Macaca mulatta: one gene and its partners. The protein of the gene in region 2 binds, or shares a complex with, the protein of the main gene of each other region. Links are inferred from orthologs where the notes say so. Each region holds a gene or a part of one and is shown on either strand. Other genes may lie near its edges.

Region 1 (3,561 bases), on a different chromosome or scaffold from region 2:
GCTGAGGCAGGAGAATCACTTGAACTTGGGAGGTGGAGGTCGCAGTGAGCTGAGATCACGCCACTGCATGCCAGCCTGGGTGACAGAGCAAGACTGCATCTCAAAAAAAAAAAAAAAAAGAAAAAGAAATTTTTAGCACTTCTCAAGCGCTTATTGTGTGTGGAAACAGTATAATAACAGGCACTTATTATACTTATTATACTGTATAACCAGGCAGGTATTATAGCCCACGTTGTGCAGGTGAAGACAGAGACGCAAGGTTCAGGGGTACTAGGAAGTGGCTGAGTCAAGACTTGGCCCTGGGTCTGCCCGGGCTCTCTCTATGGCCCAGGGAAATCATGCCAGCACGCCCCTTCCCACATCTTTCTCACCTTGGCCTTCTCGAGCTGTGCTAATGCCTGGCGCTCTGCTTCTTTCCTTAAGGCTTCCCGGTCCTCCTCCAGAGATACATCAGAGTCCGATGGACGGCTGGTGTAGGACTCCGCTGAGCCCTGAAAATACAGAGAGCCAGATCAGGGCCATTGCTGCCTCTCCCAGCTCCTGGGCCTGGGAAGGCATGGAGGTGCCACCCATCATGGATGCCTCTAGCCCCAGCCAGCCCAGCATGACGCCACAAGGGCTAAGAGAAGGTGGTATTAGGTGGAAGGGACCAGGAGCTGAGATTTCTCAGGCCCCTGGGGAAAGTGTGGCCCTAGTGAGGGTGACAGCAGCAAGCAGGAGATGAAGGCAGGCCCAAGGACAGCTGCTTGGGGCCCAGGGAGGGGTGGGAACCTGATAGGGGCACAAGGCAAGGGAGGAATGCCAGGGACGAGTCTCTACTCCCACTGCTCCTTCCCTCCCCTGCCCCCAGCACCCACTGAGATAGACTCAGCCGAGGTCCAGTGGCATCCATTCCAGGGACTGCAGCCACCAGCTTCGGCCTGAGCTTTCTGCACTATCAGCCGCGGATGGCCTGCTCCACAGGATGGGGCCACCACAGATTTTGCCAACTTCTGTTCAAGGGTAGAGGGAGATAGACTCCTACCTCCCCTGCTCCTTTACCTGGTACTGCCAAAATCAAACTTCACTACTTAGAGCCCCAATCCTCAGGCTCTCCTAGGACACAAGAGAACCCAAGATTTCCAGGCTGGTGCAGACTGAAGAGGCAAGTTAAGAGCAGGATATGGGACAGGGCTTTCCCTGAGATGAGGGCTGCTGGGTGCCAGGCAGCTGGCTTTGACCACAGTGACCAACCCAGAGCACGAGGGACTCCTTTAGGGATGCACACATATGTGTAAGACACATGTCGCCCATACAGACCTGGTAGTGGGAATGCATGTGCTTATTCACGTGTGTGCGAGGATGTGCAAGTACAAGTGTGTGGAGGAGGGCGTGCTCTATAGTTGGCTACATATGACCACATGTGTAGAGCCACATGCGAGTGTATTGGCGGGGGCCTCCCAGATATCTATGACCCTGAGGGTGGGGGACATGTGAGTGCAGGAGTAAGGAAGTGTGGATTCGTGTGACTATGTGGGAGTGGTGTTGGACAAGGCATAGGAGGTTATGTGGCAAAAGAGGAGGACTGCAGAGATATAGGGGTTCTTTCCTGAGGGTATAAAAGGGTCACTTGGCCAGGAATGTCCATGAGTTTGGCATGGAGGGAACCTGGGAAAGACAGAAGACAAAGTCCCACCTCTCCCCAGGGGCCCCAGGTCATTAGCTGGTGCAGCTCCCCATCTCTTTCCCAGCCAAATCATGAAAATGGGAGACCCGCGGGGGAAGGGTTGGGGTGGGGCGAGAGGCATGAAGGAGGGAGAGAAAACCAGCATAGCTCCCACTCTCCACCCTGATGGGAGCACACAGAGTCAAAGAGCCAGGGAAACAGGGAGACAGACTAGCAGAGAGGCACTCATCGACCCCAACACACATGCGGGCACGCGCATTCACACACACACACTCACCAACTCCAACACAGACGCAGGCCCATGCACGCGCACACTCACCGACCCCAACACACACACAGTTACATGCACACACGCAGACACACATGTGCGGGCAGACACACACACACATATGCAGACACACAGGTGCACGCGGATGCACACGTAGGCACATGCACACATACACATATGCAGACACACGCATGCGCATACACACGCATACATCAGAAATGGCAGAAGACAGGAAACAGTGAGGAGGCATGGAGACAGGCTGGAGGAAAGGCCGCCCTCCGCCAGCTTTCCTGAGAGGCTGTTCTACCCGCCGCCACCCCACTCCATCCCCAGCTCACCACCACCAGGGTCCGGCTGGGCGCCTCCATCCCGGCGCCCTCAGTGCCTGGCCCTGCTGGCCTAGGGGGTGGCCCAAACTGCCCGTTCCCTCGGGGGCTCAGGTTACAAGCAGAGTTGCTACATGTGCAAACTGCTAGGGTATATTTAGCTCAGAGATGTGGCAAGGACTGCTCCCCCACCACTCCCCACCACCTACCGGGGATCAGAGCTGGGGAGCTAAAAGGAGGAAGAACTGGAGGCTGGGGTCTGACTCCCTGGGTTGGCAAACACTGAAGGAGCCAAGGTCCTTTTCTGCCAAGAGGGGCAATAAAAGCACAGCGTCATTCTTCCTAGCCCTGGCCAAGTCCTGCAACAGGAGGGATGAGGGAGTGATTGAAGAAAGGACTTCCTGTCTGTTCCTATACTTAGAAAAGACTAGAATGAAGCCTCCCCTTCCCGAAGCTCCCAAGTCAGACTGAGGCTCACATGTGCCAAGTGCTGTAGAGACAGAAGAATCAGAAAGAAGGGCCTCACTCTAATTAGTGGTGGATCTGCCTGGCATCACTCTCGCTCCTGGCCCAAGGTGGAAGGGAGGGGCTCATCTCCAGAGGACCCCTCCTCTGTGCTGTCTTCTGCCCTCGAATGCCCTGCCCATTTCCTCTTCAATGCACGCCTTTTCCTTGTCTAATTCCAAGCCCCTCTCGCCTTTTTTGGGTACCAGGCTTTGGTGAGATGCTAAGTAGTCATAGCAACCACATGCCTCTCTCCGTGCCTCACCCTGAGCCTAAGATTGACAGAGAGATAAGAGCAGCCACTTACTGACCGAGCACAGGAGACCCCAGAAAGCTACTCTCAGTTACACCCTTTCAGGCAGTGGTGCTGCGCTACCGTCTTCTCTATTATAAAATTAACAGCCTCATGCCTCAACCACCCCCATCCCCGTCACCATCACCCTTTCTCTGTGCTTCTTAGATAGTCAAGTCTTGAGGTGAGGAGCGTGTTTCCCTGACCAGGACCTCACCAGGACTACAGGGACCCAAACATCCTCGCTCTGCTTTTCCTAGGACCTGCCTCCACCCCACCCTGTCACAGATTCTGGGGGAGGACATGGAAGCAGACAGCCGGCAGGGGGAGTGGGTGACAGCCCGAAGCAAGCTAGAGGGAGGCAGGCCAGGCTGTCCCTGAATGAGATGACGCAGGCCAGCAGGCAGCAGGGGAGGGTGCCTGGTGCTGGGGGAGGGGCCAGGCAGGGGCGGGGGCTGAGCGAGTGGGTGCAGCTGACAGCACATCCAGGAGAGGTCATGGGGTG
Region 2 (4,048 bases):
ACATGTCTCCTCCTTTCTTTTTTTTTCGCTCTGTCACCCAGGCTGGAGTGCAGTGGTGCAATCTCAGCTCACTGCAAGCTCCGCCTCCCGGGTTCACGCCATTCTCCTGCCTCAGCCTCCCGAGTAGCTGGGACTACAGGTGCCCGCCACCACGTCCGGCTAATTTTTTGTATTTTTTAGTAGAGACAGGGTTTCACTGTGTTAACCAGGATGGTCTCCATCTCCTGACCTCGTGATCCGCCTGCCTCGGCCTCCCAAAGTGCTGGGATTACAGGTGTGAGCCACTGTGCCCGTCCATGTCACCTCTTTTCTACACCTTGTTCCCCAGAGCCTACTCACGATCTTGCCGAAGCATCTCTGCATTTCCACATAGGACTGACAGTGTTCATGGATGTTGGTTTTGCAGTTCTTACAGCGAAGCCCAAACTTGTTGTTGACTTGGGAGAGGGGGAGAAAATTCAGATAAGATTCCAGATTGCCCTTTCCCTTTGTACCACTGCTGCTACTCTTAGGTTCCCTTTTCTGTCTGGGACCTTACTTGCTCAATCTCTAACAGCATTGCCTTACACCAACTCTAGCCACAGCCCATCTGCTACAAATACTCCTCTTGTATGCCCTCTCCCCAACCTCTGCCTTCAACATCATACTCTCTTCACTCCCCTTTATGACTCACGAACAATCATCCGGGCACAGACATCACAGAACTTTGGCTTCTTGAAGAAATGATCTTTGAATTTGTGGGGCTTATCGTTGACCAGCTTAGGAGGTTCTGGGAGTGGCTCCTCCTCCTCCTCTTCTTCTTCTTCCTCTTCCTCATAAATGTAGTAGATGGGCCCACCCCCAGCTCCCACTGCCTCCCCATTGGCCTGGGGCTCTGGGGGAAGTTCCATTTCCTTTGTCCCTGTAGAACCCTTCCTGAGTAACTGCTTCAGCCGCTGTAGCTGAGGGAGGGAGTGAAGAAAACCCAACGTTAAAAGGACTTGTCACCCTCTCTAGAGTAGGGGGGTGTTAGAGCAAACAGACAGTTTTCTAGTTTTGGGCAAGGAATGTACCCCAGGATTAGGCAGGTATTGGTATTGGGGACTGCAGGTGCTGGCCAGCAAAACATGAGTCACACACAAATGAGATCAATTTAAGCACTCTTCTTCAGCTGTAAAGGTTTCCTGGCCCCCCACACCCAGTGGTCACAGGCCCAGACTCACCCCGCTTTGCCGAGTCTCTGCTGGGAAAGAGGGCTTAGGGGACTCCAGCACCTCCTTTTCTGTCATCCTGCAAGAGGTTGGACCCCACTATGAAATCTAATCCCTTTCACTCTTCTCCCCCTTATTTCTGTCCCTTGCAGTAGGGCGGTACTCAAAGGGAAGGTTTTTGGAGAAACGTGATTAGAGATTTTGTTGTTGTTGAGATGGGGTTTCACTCTGTCACCCAGGTTGGAGTGCAGTGGCATGATCATGGCTCACTGCAGCCTTGACCTCCCAGCCTGAAGCAATCCCCCTACCTCAGCTTCCTGAGTAGCTGGAACACAAGGTGCACACTACCTGGCTACCTTTTTATTTTTTGTAGAGACATGGTCTTGCTTTGTTGCCTAGGCTTACCCGAACTAGCTCAAGCAATCCTCCCGTTTCAACCCCCAAAGTGTTGAGATTCCAGGCGTGAGCCACTGCACTGGGCCAAATACAGATCATTTGGCAGGTTTTATTAACAGATTTCATGGAAGTCTAGGAAAAAGCCCAACATGACCAGGCGCGGTGGTGCATGCCTGTAATCCCAGCACTTTGGGAGGCTGAGGCGGGCAGATCACTAGAGATCAGGAGTTCAAGACTAGCCTGGCCAACATGGTGAAACCCCATCTCTACTAAATATACAAAAATTAGCCGGGCGTGATGGTGGACACCAGTAATTCCATCTACTCAGGAAGCTAAGGAAGGAGAATCGCTTGAACCCAGGAGGTTGCAGTGAGCCAGAATTGTGCCACTGCCCTCCAGCCTGGGTGACAGAGCAAGACTCCATCTCAAAAAAAATAAAAAATAATAAATAAATAAATAAATCCCAACAGACTAAAGAGCTCCCCAATTAGTTCCTCAAACTGATACTCATCCTTCCATCCTGAGGGGAGACCCCATAGTTTACAGCCCTTACAGTGTTCAAGGCTGCATGGTTTATGTTATTTTCCTATAGGTACTTTGTTTCTCTTGGGAATCTGTGGGCAACAGAGATGTGATGCATACCTTCCCAGATCTCCTCTCTTCAAGAGGTTTAATGTGTGTCCTCGTGTGCGCACAAGGAAGGATGGACTGCAGACATTTGTCCTCCCCTACTTCTTTCTTGAGCCCTGGGGGCCCTGTGCCTAGTTCTGTCCCAGCCTGCCTCAGGGCTCAGCTATTTTAAGTTTTCAGGGTAATATGAGCCTTTCCTTCCCTTACTACTTCATTCCCTTTACCCCACCCCCACCCCCCCTCCAATCCTAACTCATCCTAGAGTAGAATAATAATTTTACTCCTAAAACCCAAACGACTCACAGACAAGGAAAGAAATGAAGAAGCTGAATAGATTATAGATCAGGGCAGCTGGCGTGAGCAGTCGTGGAAATCGAGAGGATGAAGAGGTAACTTACGTTTGGGATTCCCTAAATCAGTCCACAGTCTGTAGAGGGAGCTGGGAGCCCCGAGGCCTTGATGGTGGTGCTGGGGAAAAACTGGTCCTCTTCCTTGGGGGCTAAGCCCCCCCAGTACCCTGTGTTCACACCAGCTACCCAGTCGCTATTTGTAGACCTCCTAACCTCCTGCCTTGGTGTCAGGGCTGAAATGACAGGGCTGGAGGAAAGTGAACAGCTGAGAAACACAGCTGACACAGAGAAATTGGACACTGAGAGGTCTGGGGCAGGGCTGGACCCTAACTCCTCCCATCCCTCCAGAGCTGCTGTTCCTTGATTCTTCATCTAAGGTGAACAGGTGAATAATGGCCAAATTCAGCAAGGGACAGTTTCTGTTCATGCTCATATAACATTTAAAGGGAGTTTATTTTTATTTTTCATTTATTTTTTGAGACAGGGTAAAAAAAAAAAAAAAAGACTAATTCGAACGCATAGAGCTCTCCTATCAGCCATACTAGATGGCTTTCTTTTTTTTTTTTTTTTTTGAGACAGAGTCTTGCTCTTGTCACCCAGGCTGGAGTGCAATGAAGTGATCCGGACTCACTGCAACCTCCCAGGTTCAAGCGATTCTCCTGCCTCAGCCTCCTAAGCAGCTGGGATTACAGGCGCCCACCACCATGCCCAGGTAATGTTTGTATTTTTAGTAGAGACGGGGTTTCACCATGTTGGCCAGGTTGGTCTCAAACCCCTGACCTCAGGTGATCTGCCTGCCTCGGCCTTCCAAAGTGCTAGGATTACAGGCGTGGGTCACCGTGCATGGTTAGATTGCTTTTTATCTGTGGGTGGTTGGAGAAGTACTTTGCTATCCTGTAAGAAAGTGAAGAATATGTAGTATTGCTTCATTCCCTCCATCAGCTCCCAGAGACATCTCCCCACCCTCCTTCTTGCAAAATTTTGTCCTCAGGGTGAATGGAATTACCAGGGCTATTAAAAAGGGCCAGTTAACACTAGACAGAAGGATATAGCTGCCACATAAGGAATCTTTTTAATAATTTCTAAGTAATGTCCCCTTCCTCATGAGAACTGCAAACTCTTAAAGGTAGGATGGCCAACCTCACACTTCCTAAACCCTTTTGATTCCCTGATTCCATCTCCCACCTTTGATGCCTCAGTATGTAACTGATGGATCAAAGAGACAGATGCCATTCTGATCTCACAGGGGTTTACCCTTCTCCTACTCTTTGGGCTGTGACATAGATGAAAGAGGAGATACTCCCATCTCAGGGGAGAGCAATTTAGAGGTGGCAATGCAGTGCTGCTTTATTCCTTGTATCTGTAAGAAATAAAGGACTGTGTTGGAGACTGAGTCAGGCAAGCTCCTGTAGGACCATGGTTAGGGATACAGCTACTTGGACCCAAGAGATTTCCAGGGCAACATGCTTTGTCATTCTCACC
Region 3 (4,097 bases), on a different chromosome or scaffold from region 2:
AAACTGTTCAATTTTGGTATGTGAAACTTACATGAATAAATTAGCCACAAATAGAACAATCTTATTTTCAGAATACAAATTGTAGTTTTTTCTTACTTTTCTTTACACACAATGCAAAATATAGAATATAGAATTCAGACTCTCAGCTGCAACCTATATTAACTACAGTGCTGACTGTCATACATTATTTAATGTTCTTCATTATTTCATTTCAACTTCACAATGTTCTAAGTGGCTAACATTGGTAGAGCAGATTCGTTGTTGGCAACTGGGCCACATCCAGTTTTACCAGTTTCCACCATCACAAAACCCTCCCTGCATCTGCTATTTATGAACTGCCTTTCAGAGAAGACTGTCAGTCCTGGAGAAAATTTCCCTGCCAGTTGAGGTAAGAACATCATTCTGATATACAGAAGTACTGCTTTTTAGAAGTCAAGGTCTCCTGGCAGTTCCTCAGTAGACTAGGATGGCAGCCGCGCTAGAGGTCATGAATAATGTATTACATAAGGGCTGTCCATGCATTCAAACCAGAATCTCCTAACCACAATTCCCATAGCAACACACATAGATTCTACTCATCTCAGAGATGAAGCAGCCAGCAGAAATGCTATCCTGGTATTTCTAGCACGATCAACAAGGCACTTAGCCTTTTTCAAAACAAGTTTTTCAAAGGAAAATCAACAACCATGTTAAAATAGGTTCATTGGGAAGCGACTGAGTATCCCAAAAACCAAGCTACCTTCAACTCGAACAATCTATGCCTTAGAAATCGCCACTATTCCAAGGACAGCATGGGAAAAAGAATTCAAATCGTTGCAATGAGTTAAATGAGACAAGACCTGAGATAAATCCTGGAACTATCTATTTCATAGCTGCTTTGCAGTCTCCCTTCCATATATACACACTTTATCCTGCAGAAGAACATGTTCTAAGAGAAGAAACTTCTAAAAATCAATAAAATCCTCTGTTGCTCTTTGAAAAGCATAATGTAATCAATTTTGAAAGTAAGAGGATACTAATATAAAACACCTATGAAGTAAAATTCAGGGGAAAAACTGTTCAAGTCTAAGAAAATAAACAATAGCTTGAAGTCAGTCTGTTTTTTTTTTTTTTTTTTTTTTTTTTCTTAACAGAGATATAATTTACTGGGGAAATGAAGTAAAATGTGTTGATATTAGGTGCCGTTTTTCCTCTTTGCACATTCAGGGATCCTTTCGTACGTGTCCAAATAAGCCATCCACCCACAGAAACGAGTTGCTTGGATTATAAAACAACATAGACGACCAGTCTTACACAACACACTTCCCTTTTCTACTAAGGGAAGAAACTAGGCTCCATTTCTTGTACCTTTCTAAAACCCGACGATGAAATGCTCTAATAGATCAAACAAGCTTTAGGGGAAACTTCCACAGGTGGTCTATCAGGGGCACAGCACAACTTGCAAAGAAAGATCTTGGCAGGCAGGAAATGATTTTACCTTTGCTTTTTCCAACTGTGCCTGGGCCTGCCGCTCCGCTTCTCTGCGCACTGCTTCCCGGTCCTCCTCCAGAGATACATCGGAATCGGATGGACGGCTAGTGTAGGAGTCTGCCGAACCCTGGAGAGGAAAATGTACATTTTAAAGTAGATTCAATCTATGATGTTTGCATTGGAAAAGTCTCATCGACACAGCAGTTAGCTTCCCGGATTGTGCTATACGTTCCTGAAAAGAGGAGAAAATAATTCATTTTGCAGCAACCTATCTAGAAAACCATGCTCTGATTTGCAGACATTCAATAGAATAGTTGTGTCTACTGAGTTGCCATTCCTTCCTAAGCTTTATATTCAAAAAAACCACCCTTCCTGGAAGCCAGAACAAGTTGCTTTTATAATTAAACAGCTTGATGGTGCAGTGCAGAACTGAAGGACAACGATGGGTTTCAAGGATAGCTTCAAGAACAATCTACATGCTAAAGCAGGTATTTAAAACCAGAAAGACATTAAGCCTAACAAAAACATGAAAGAAAGTCTGAGTTATCAACTTGAACTCTCCCAAATGTCACTACCATGACATGATTCCCACTTTAATCTGAAGAATCCTTGTTTACCTTTTTATACACCTGCTGTTTTCTCTGATAAAACTGTAAGATACTAGCAGCTAACTTCACTCCATCTTCCAGCAACACATTTTAAAATACCTTTACCTAGATTTAATAAAAAGCCGTCTACAGAAAACACCTGCCTGGGATAGCTCATCTGGCAATTAATCATAACACAGGGAAAGGAGCTCAAAAAACGAGATGAATCTCCCTAGCTTCCCTCTCTTGCAATCTTGATCCGATTAACCAAATCAAACCACCCTCTCTACCTGCACTCACTGCAACAACAGAAAAGCAGAACACAATAACCTCTCCCCCCAAACGAAAGCCCTTGCGCTTACACAGATATCAGAATTCTTCAGCCTTCCTCCCTTGGCTCTTTTCAGAAGCCTGATCCAGGTGGCCTTCATGAGCCAGACAGCGCCTTTATCGTCCGCAGCTGCAGCCCCGGGCACAGGTTCTCAGTGCGCGCTGAGCCCCGGAGAACCCCAGCTCCTTTCCTATCCATGCTCTGGGCAAGCCCCTCTGCTCCGTCCCTTTCTGCCTCCGGGGCTTTCACTCCCTGCCCCAGAGGACTCCCATCCAGGGAAATTCTTATTTTCCCTTTCCAGGAGGGGCTGAAAACACACACTCGAGTGCTTTATATTTCTTTAAAAATAAAGAAGACTTCAAGTGCATTCAGAAGCCGGGCATCAACTCGTTCTAAACTTAATGCATCTCATAACCCTAAACATTCTCTTCCCTGCGCTCAAATTGTTAAAGGAAATTAGTTGTAAAAGAATCGCAGGAAAAAAAAAAAAAAAAACTAGTGCAAAAACGTATGCAGTGACATTTGCAAGTGCAAAGTTCAAGCCTTATCTTTGGAGATCTCGAGGGGAAGGGGGGAGGCGGAGGGAGGAGGACGCACTCCCACACTGGGCATGCTCCATATGTCGCCTTTTTACGCAGATGCTCACATCACACTGTTAGTCTATGTCAAATTGCCATTTTACATCCGAAGTGTAAACAGCTGGAAAGGTCTCTTCGGTTCTATAGTAACCGGGCTCGTGGTATGTGTGTCTGTTTCTGTTTCAGATGAAACCTTCTCTCAAAAACAAAGCATGAGATCGTTTCCTTTAATAATCCCTTTCCATTACCTGCTCCAGAAACTGTGTCCTATGCTGAAAGCAGGTTCACAGGTAGTAAATATCATATGCAATATTGCATAGCAAAAATCAAATAATGCTCATCAGTCATAATATAACACAGTTCTTTATTGCTTGTGACTTTCCAAACAAGATGCGAGAGAGAGACGTGGCCATTTAATTAGGACATGAAAGTAATCACAGCTCTATAAAGCAATGAGTTTAACGGAGCTCAAAATGACTTCGAACTGCTTCTCCAACTGAGAAACTACCATTTGAAATAAAGCCACTGGCATAAACAGCAATGTGAATTGTTATAACCATACTTACAAAGAAATTTCAAAGCTTGGTTAATTTATTAGTTGGAGTTAAAATTCACAGAATAATTGAGTCCCAACTCTGCTTGTAGATGAGGGGAGTGAGGCTGAAGAAGGAAAGACACTAAAGTTATTAATTTCCTGTACTAATGAAATTGCATTTTCAAAGTTTACTTGTAAAGAAATACACTTTGTTTTCTTGACATAAACAAAATGCTATCACTGTAGTCTAAACTGCATTTGTTTGAGGGTGGTGGGAGAAGATTTTGTACAAATAAAAATGAAAAAAAAATGTGTTCTTAAGAATACTTAAGAACCACGGCTGGGTGCAATGGCTCACGACTGTAATCCTAGCACTTTGGGAGGCCGAAGTGGGAGGACTGCTTGAGCCCATGAGTTCGAGACCAGCCTGGGCAACATAGAGAGACCCCCCCATCTCAAAAAATCTTCCTCCCTCCCCACTTGGCACTCTGCACTAATATAATCTTCAAGAGCCAAATGCTAGAAACACATAGAATAGGGGTTTCAGAATGAAAGTTAGTGATTAATTGTACCTCCATTGTGGTATCTTGATGTAA
Region 4 (4,277 bases), on a different chromosome or scaffold from region 2:
CTCTGGGTCCTGAAACCTGGCTTCCTCATTTTCCCGCTGTGTGACCTTAGACAAGTGACTTCACGTCTCTGAGTGTCCATGTCCTTGTCTGTGAAATGGCAGTAACAGTTGTGTTACTGTGAAATGGCAAAAACAGCCACAGTCCCCTTGTGGATTTGGTGTGAAGAGTAACTGCGATGATGGATGAAGGCTCAGCAGAGTGCCTGTTAGATAGTAAGCACTCACTGAAGATGAGCCACTGCTCCTATTATCATCATCATGAACTTTCTGTGATTCCAAGGCTGGAGGCCGAAATGTTTCTGTCCACATGGGCAGAGTCTCTGTAAATCGTGTCAATCTGAGGCAAGAATTTTGAAGTTCAAGGCCCCACCCAGCTCAGGAGGCTATTCCTGATCATGCATCAGCCTCTCGGCTACACCCAAAAAGGGCCACCCAGTGAGCTGAGAAGGGAGAGATGGCACAACCCAGGAGAGACGTAGAGGCCGCAGCCTCGGGGACAGGCCTGGGGGCCAGGCAGGCGCACAGGACCCTCGGAGGGTGGTCGATCCCAGGCTTTCTGTGTTCTCTGCCATATCCGCACACCCATGAGCTCCTGATGATCCCCTATAAATCAACCTATTCGTTCTTTTTCACTCACACACATATTTTGCAAATTAAAACGTAACTGGAAAATCGTTATCACCTGCTGTTAGTAGAAGGCAAAACCAAACACAGTGCCCTGAAAACAGAACAACCAAGTCCAGCAGGATTCCTCGTCCTCTTCAGGCCGTTCTCGCTTTGTTTCAGAGGACACTTTGCGGGCAGTAATGACACTGACCTCGAACGGAGCTCTGCTCTGGACCCAGTTTTGGGGATGGAAAGAGAATTGAAAAGGAAGTAATGTTCTCGTGGAGGGATCAGAGTTGGGTAAGGCCAGGCCTGGGAACCACCTAAAATCTTCCTGTGGTTTGCGGGATGCTGTGGGGTTTGTGGCTAAAACGCTTGCCTGAGAGGTGGACTCCACAGGCCCCGGACAGGGTCCCTGGGATGTCCCTAGACAGAATCCTAGGCCCCCCAGATCCCAGGATGAGAACCTACTCACTGCCCCGCCGGTAGTAGGCTTACAATGTGGGAGCCCGGGACGGCCGTGCAGCCTGCAGCTCCTGGTCTCCTCCCCTGGCCTGGGGTGCCCTTTCCCATCAGCCCAGAGCAGACAGATCTCCACCCCTGGGGCCCTGCTGCCCACCCCTCGCCCCCTCCCAACTCAGGCACCCTGAGCTGCTACTCCATAGAGGCCTCAATCCACCATCCAGAGCCTTCTCTCCTTGCCCCGCCCCCCACTGGGGTATTTCTGGCTCCCAGAGGGGCAGACAGCGCTGAAACCCGAGCAGAAGCCGTCCCCGGTGCCACGCCTGGAGAGGGGCATTAATAGCAGCCTTCCTCAGGCCCCTGACGCGTCTGGGCAGCTGCTCAGCACATCCCGCGTCCCTCAGCCCCAGGGCCAGCCCACTCTGGCTCAGCCAGGCACACTAAACTTAGTGGCCACTCCCAACTCGACAACCACCGCCACCCCCCAGCTCGGCTGTCACCTGCCGGAGGAGACGCAGCCGCCGGACCCTGCCCAGGGCACCCACGCCTCGGCGACCACCATGTCCCAGACCAAAACGCTGAAGGTCCGCGTGACCCTCTTCTGCATCCTGGCAGGCATCGTGCTGGCCATGACGGCCGTGGTAACCGACCACTGGGCTGTGCTGAGCCCCCACATGGAGCACCACAACACCACCTGCGAGGCGGCCCACTTCGGCCTCTGGCGGATTTGTACCAAGCGCATCCCCATGGACGACAGCAAGACCTGCGGGCCCATCACCCTGCCCGGGGGTAACGTACCCACCCTCCGTCCCGATCCCCACCTCCCGCCCTTCCCCGTCGTCCCCCGGACAAATTTGCCCATGCCAAGGAAGGCAGGTTTCTCAGGCTAGAGATAGGGCAGCCGCCCAGCCCTTTCTGCCCAGGGAAGAAGATCTGAATTGCATGTGCTGTGCTGGTGGCTGGGGCTGGGTTGTAAGACGAGGGCGTTTGTCCCAGCTATTTCTGTCTGGCTGGACCCTGGGGCTTTTCGCCCAGAACAGAGAGCTGGGCAGGCTCAAGACGGGAACCGCAGCTCTACCAGCCCAGGGACTTCTGGGCTCCATCTGGTCACTCTCTCCCTGCAAAGACATGCTGGGTGGCTCTGTGTCCTCAGGCTGGGGGAAACCATGGAGCTGGCAGGTTTGTCCCTGGCCTCAAGGCAGGGGAGGAGAGAGGACAGGCGACGGAATATGCAGGGTCCTGTGCAAAATGAAAATGCAGGGTTCCTTGCTCCAAATTACCAAGGATTTCAAGGCAGCGATAGCAGCACATGAATCCAAGCATGGACCCTTGTGGGCCCTGGGCCTGGAGAAGCTGCACAGGTTGAATGCCTGTGAAGCAGGACGTGGCTGTGGGTGAGCCACCTGCCCCTACCTTTTTTTTTTTTTTTTTTTTTTTTTTTTGAGACAGAGTTTTGCCCTGTCGCCCAGGCTGGAATGCAGTGGTACAATCTTGGCTCACTGCAACCTCCGCCTCCTGGACTCAAGTGATTCTCCTGCCTTGGCTTCCCCAGTAGCTGGGATTACAGGCATGCGCCGCCACACCCATCTAAGTTTTATACTTTCAGTACAGACGGGGTTTTGGCATGTTGACCAGGCTGGTCTTGAACCCCTGACCTCAGGTGATCCACCTGCCTTGGCCTCCCGAAGTGCTAGGATTACAGGCGTGAGCCACCGTGCCTGGCCTCCGCCCGCCCTTTTGTCAGGACGTCAGTCCATTATGCATCCTCCGTTAGCTCAGACCCTGTCAGAGTTACAAAGCATTTCCTCACCCTGTAATTTAAGCGTATTCCTCGATTTCCTACCATGTGACCGAACCACATGTCGAAGGTAAGCTCCTTTTCAGGAGTACCTGGTAGTTGCATGACTAGCCTCTATTCTGCAAATGCCGAGGCTTCTGGATTCTTAGCAAATACAGCACTTTAGAGGAAAGGGTGCTACGTGGAGACCAGGCGGCCAGGGATCTAGTCACCATTGCCCATTACCCTCAAATGACCATCCAGCGAGGACAAAGATCATCTCAGCCTCTGCTTCTTCCTCTATAAAATATGGGACTGACTCTCAGCAATGTAAGATCCCTTCCCAGGTTTACAGACGCCCATCCACAGTGGCAGTGGAGCAGGGTTATGTCAGTGTGATGTCCCACCTGGTTTTCAGGATTATTCCCTCTTTTACCAGACTTTGGTGTTCCTTGAAACCTGTCCTTCAAGGACACTAGGGCTGAGTCCCCAAAGATCTTGCAGTCTGCATGTGAACCAAAGAGCCAACACCCCAACCTCCCATATCTCTGCTCCCTCTTCTTTCCCTGCTGCTTGCTCCAGAGATCCCCTCCCTCATTCACGCCCACTGGACGCCCAGAAGACTCGTAAGTGCCCAACTGTTATAGAAACACCGAGTCCCAGGGCTGAGGGTGACAGGTGTGGCCATGTGCTGGCAGGGTATCGCATAGCCCGGATGCCCATGCCCCTTGGCGACTGCCAAGCACACCCATAAACAGGCAATCCCTCCAGCCAACTCCCCTGGGCAGGGCAGGGCAGGGCAGCTTCTTCAGGGACCGCGCATAGGGACGTGCTGTTACAGTCCTGTTCACCCGTCCTTGGAACCATCTGCCTTTTAAAGTCAGAGCAGAGGACTGGGCAGTGAGCAGAGTCCACACAAGGAAGAGACAGGCTGGTGAGAGGTGACTAGACCAATTACAGGGGACCAACAGGCATTGCTTGTTGGACCAACAGGCCTTGAGCCTGACCAGGATCTACCTCTTTGCCTTCTTAGCCTAACCAGCTATGAACCATACTTCCCACACTTGTGACACTGAGCACTACCTTTCTCCCAGTCATCTTCCAAAATATGTTCCTGCCTTTTTCCCTCTCTTTTCTCTGCAAATGGACATCTTTCTCCTTCCCCATATGCCCTTCTTGTGCCCCCTGGGACCATTCTTGTCTGGAGGGAGGAAGCGGGTTCATATGTGGCCTCTCATTTATTATTAACAACAACAACAATAATAATGGCACATACACGTAACCCTATGTGCCGAATATTGTTGTAAATGCTTTACATGTTTCAACTTTGAATGACATCACGAAAAAGATGATAGAGAAAAAGAACTTCCAAAAATCTTCTTCTCCATAAAAGCAATGAGAAGGCTGGTGGAAATGGTCAGAATCAACATTT

The links.
Region 1: STAC3 (region 2) and CACNB1 share a complex: the UniProt entries of both Homo sapiens proteins name them as parts of the calcium channel complex. The link is inferred for Macaca mulatta from reciprocal best matches to the Homo sapiens genes STAC3 and CACNB1.
Region 3: STAC3 (region 2) and CACNB2 share a complex: the UniProt entries of both Homo sapiens proteins name them as parts of the calcium channel complex. The link is inferred for Macaca mulatta from reciprocal best matches to the Homo sapiens genes STAC3 and CACNB2.
Region 4: STAC3 (region 2) and CACNG1 share a complex: the UniProt entries of both Homo sapiens proteins name them as parts of the calcium channel complex. The link is inferred for Macaca mulatta from reciprocal best matches to the Homo sapiens genes STAC3 and CACNG1.

Annotation. Positions count from the first base shown.
Region 1 is NC_133421.1:63,521,973-63,525,533, forward strand, and holds part of CACNB1 (voltage-dependent L-type calcium channel subunit beta-1), read right to left. Parts: intron 2,419-3,561; exon of another isoform or gene 2,303-2,418; coding exon of another isoform or gene 2,273-2,302; intron 492-2,272; coding exon 372-491; intron 1-371. UniProt on the Homo sapiens protein: Regulatory subunit of L-type calcium channels. Regulates the activity of L-type calcium channels that contain CACNA1A as pore-forming subunit.
Region 2 is NC_133416.1:64,408,979-64,413,026, forward strand, and holds the start of STAC3 (SH3 and cysteine-rich domain-containing protein 3), read right to left. Parts: upstream 2,811-4,048; 5' UTR 2,615-2,810; intron 1,270-2,614; exon of another isoform or gene 1,269-1,269; coding exon of another isoform or gene 1,203-1,268; intron 942-1,202; coding exon of another isoform or gene 891-941; coding exon 674-890; intron 438-673; coding exon 340-437; intron 1-339. UniProt on the Homo sapiens protein: Required for normal excitation-contraction coupling in skeletal muscle and for normal muscle contraction in response to membrane depolarization. Required for normal Ca(2+) release from the sarcplasmic reticulum, which ultimately leads to muscle contraction.
Region 3 is NC_133414.1:19,966,785-19,970,881, reverse strand, and holds the start of CACNB2 (voltage-dependent L-type calcium channel subunit beta-2), read right to left. Parts: upstream 2,821-4,097; 5' UTR 2,489-2,820; coding exon 2,420-2,488; intron 1,598-2,419; coding exon 1,478-1,597; intron 1-1,477. UniProt on the Homo sapiens protein: Beta subunit of voltage-dependent calcium channels which contributes to the function of the calcium channel by increasing peak calcium current. Plays a role in shifting voltage dependencies of activation and inactivation of the channel.
Region 4 is NC_133421.1:76,795,419-76,799,695, forward strand, and holds the start of CACNG1 (voltage-dependent calcium channel gamma-1 subunit), read left to right. Parts: upstream 1-1,435; 5' UTR 1,436-1,628; coding exon 1,629-1,857; intron 1,858-4,277. UniProt on the Homo sapiens protein: Regulatory subunit of the voltage-gated calcium channel that gives rise to L-type calcium currents in skeletal muscle. Regulates channel inactivation kinetics.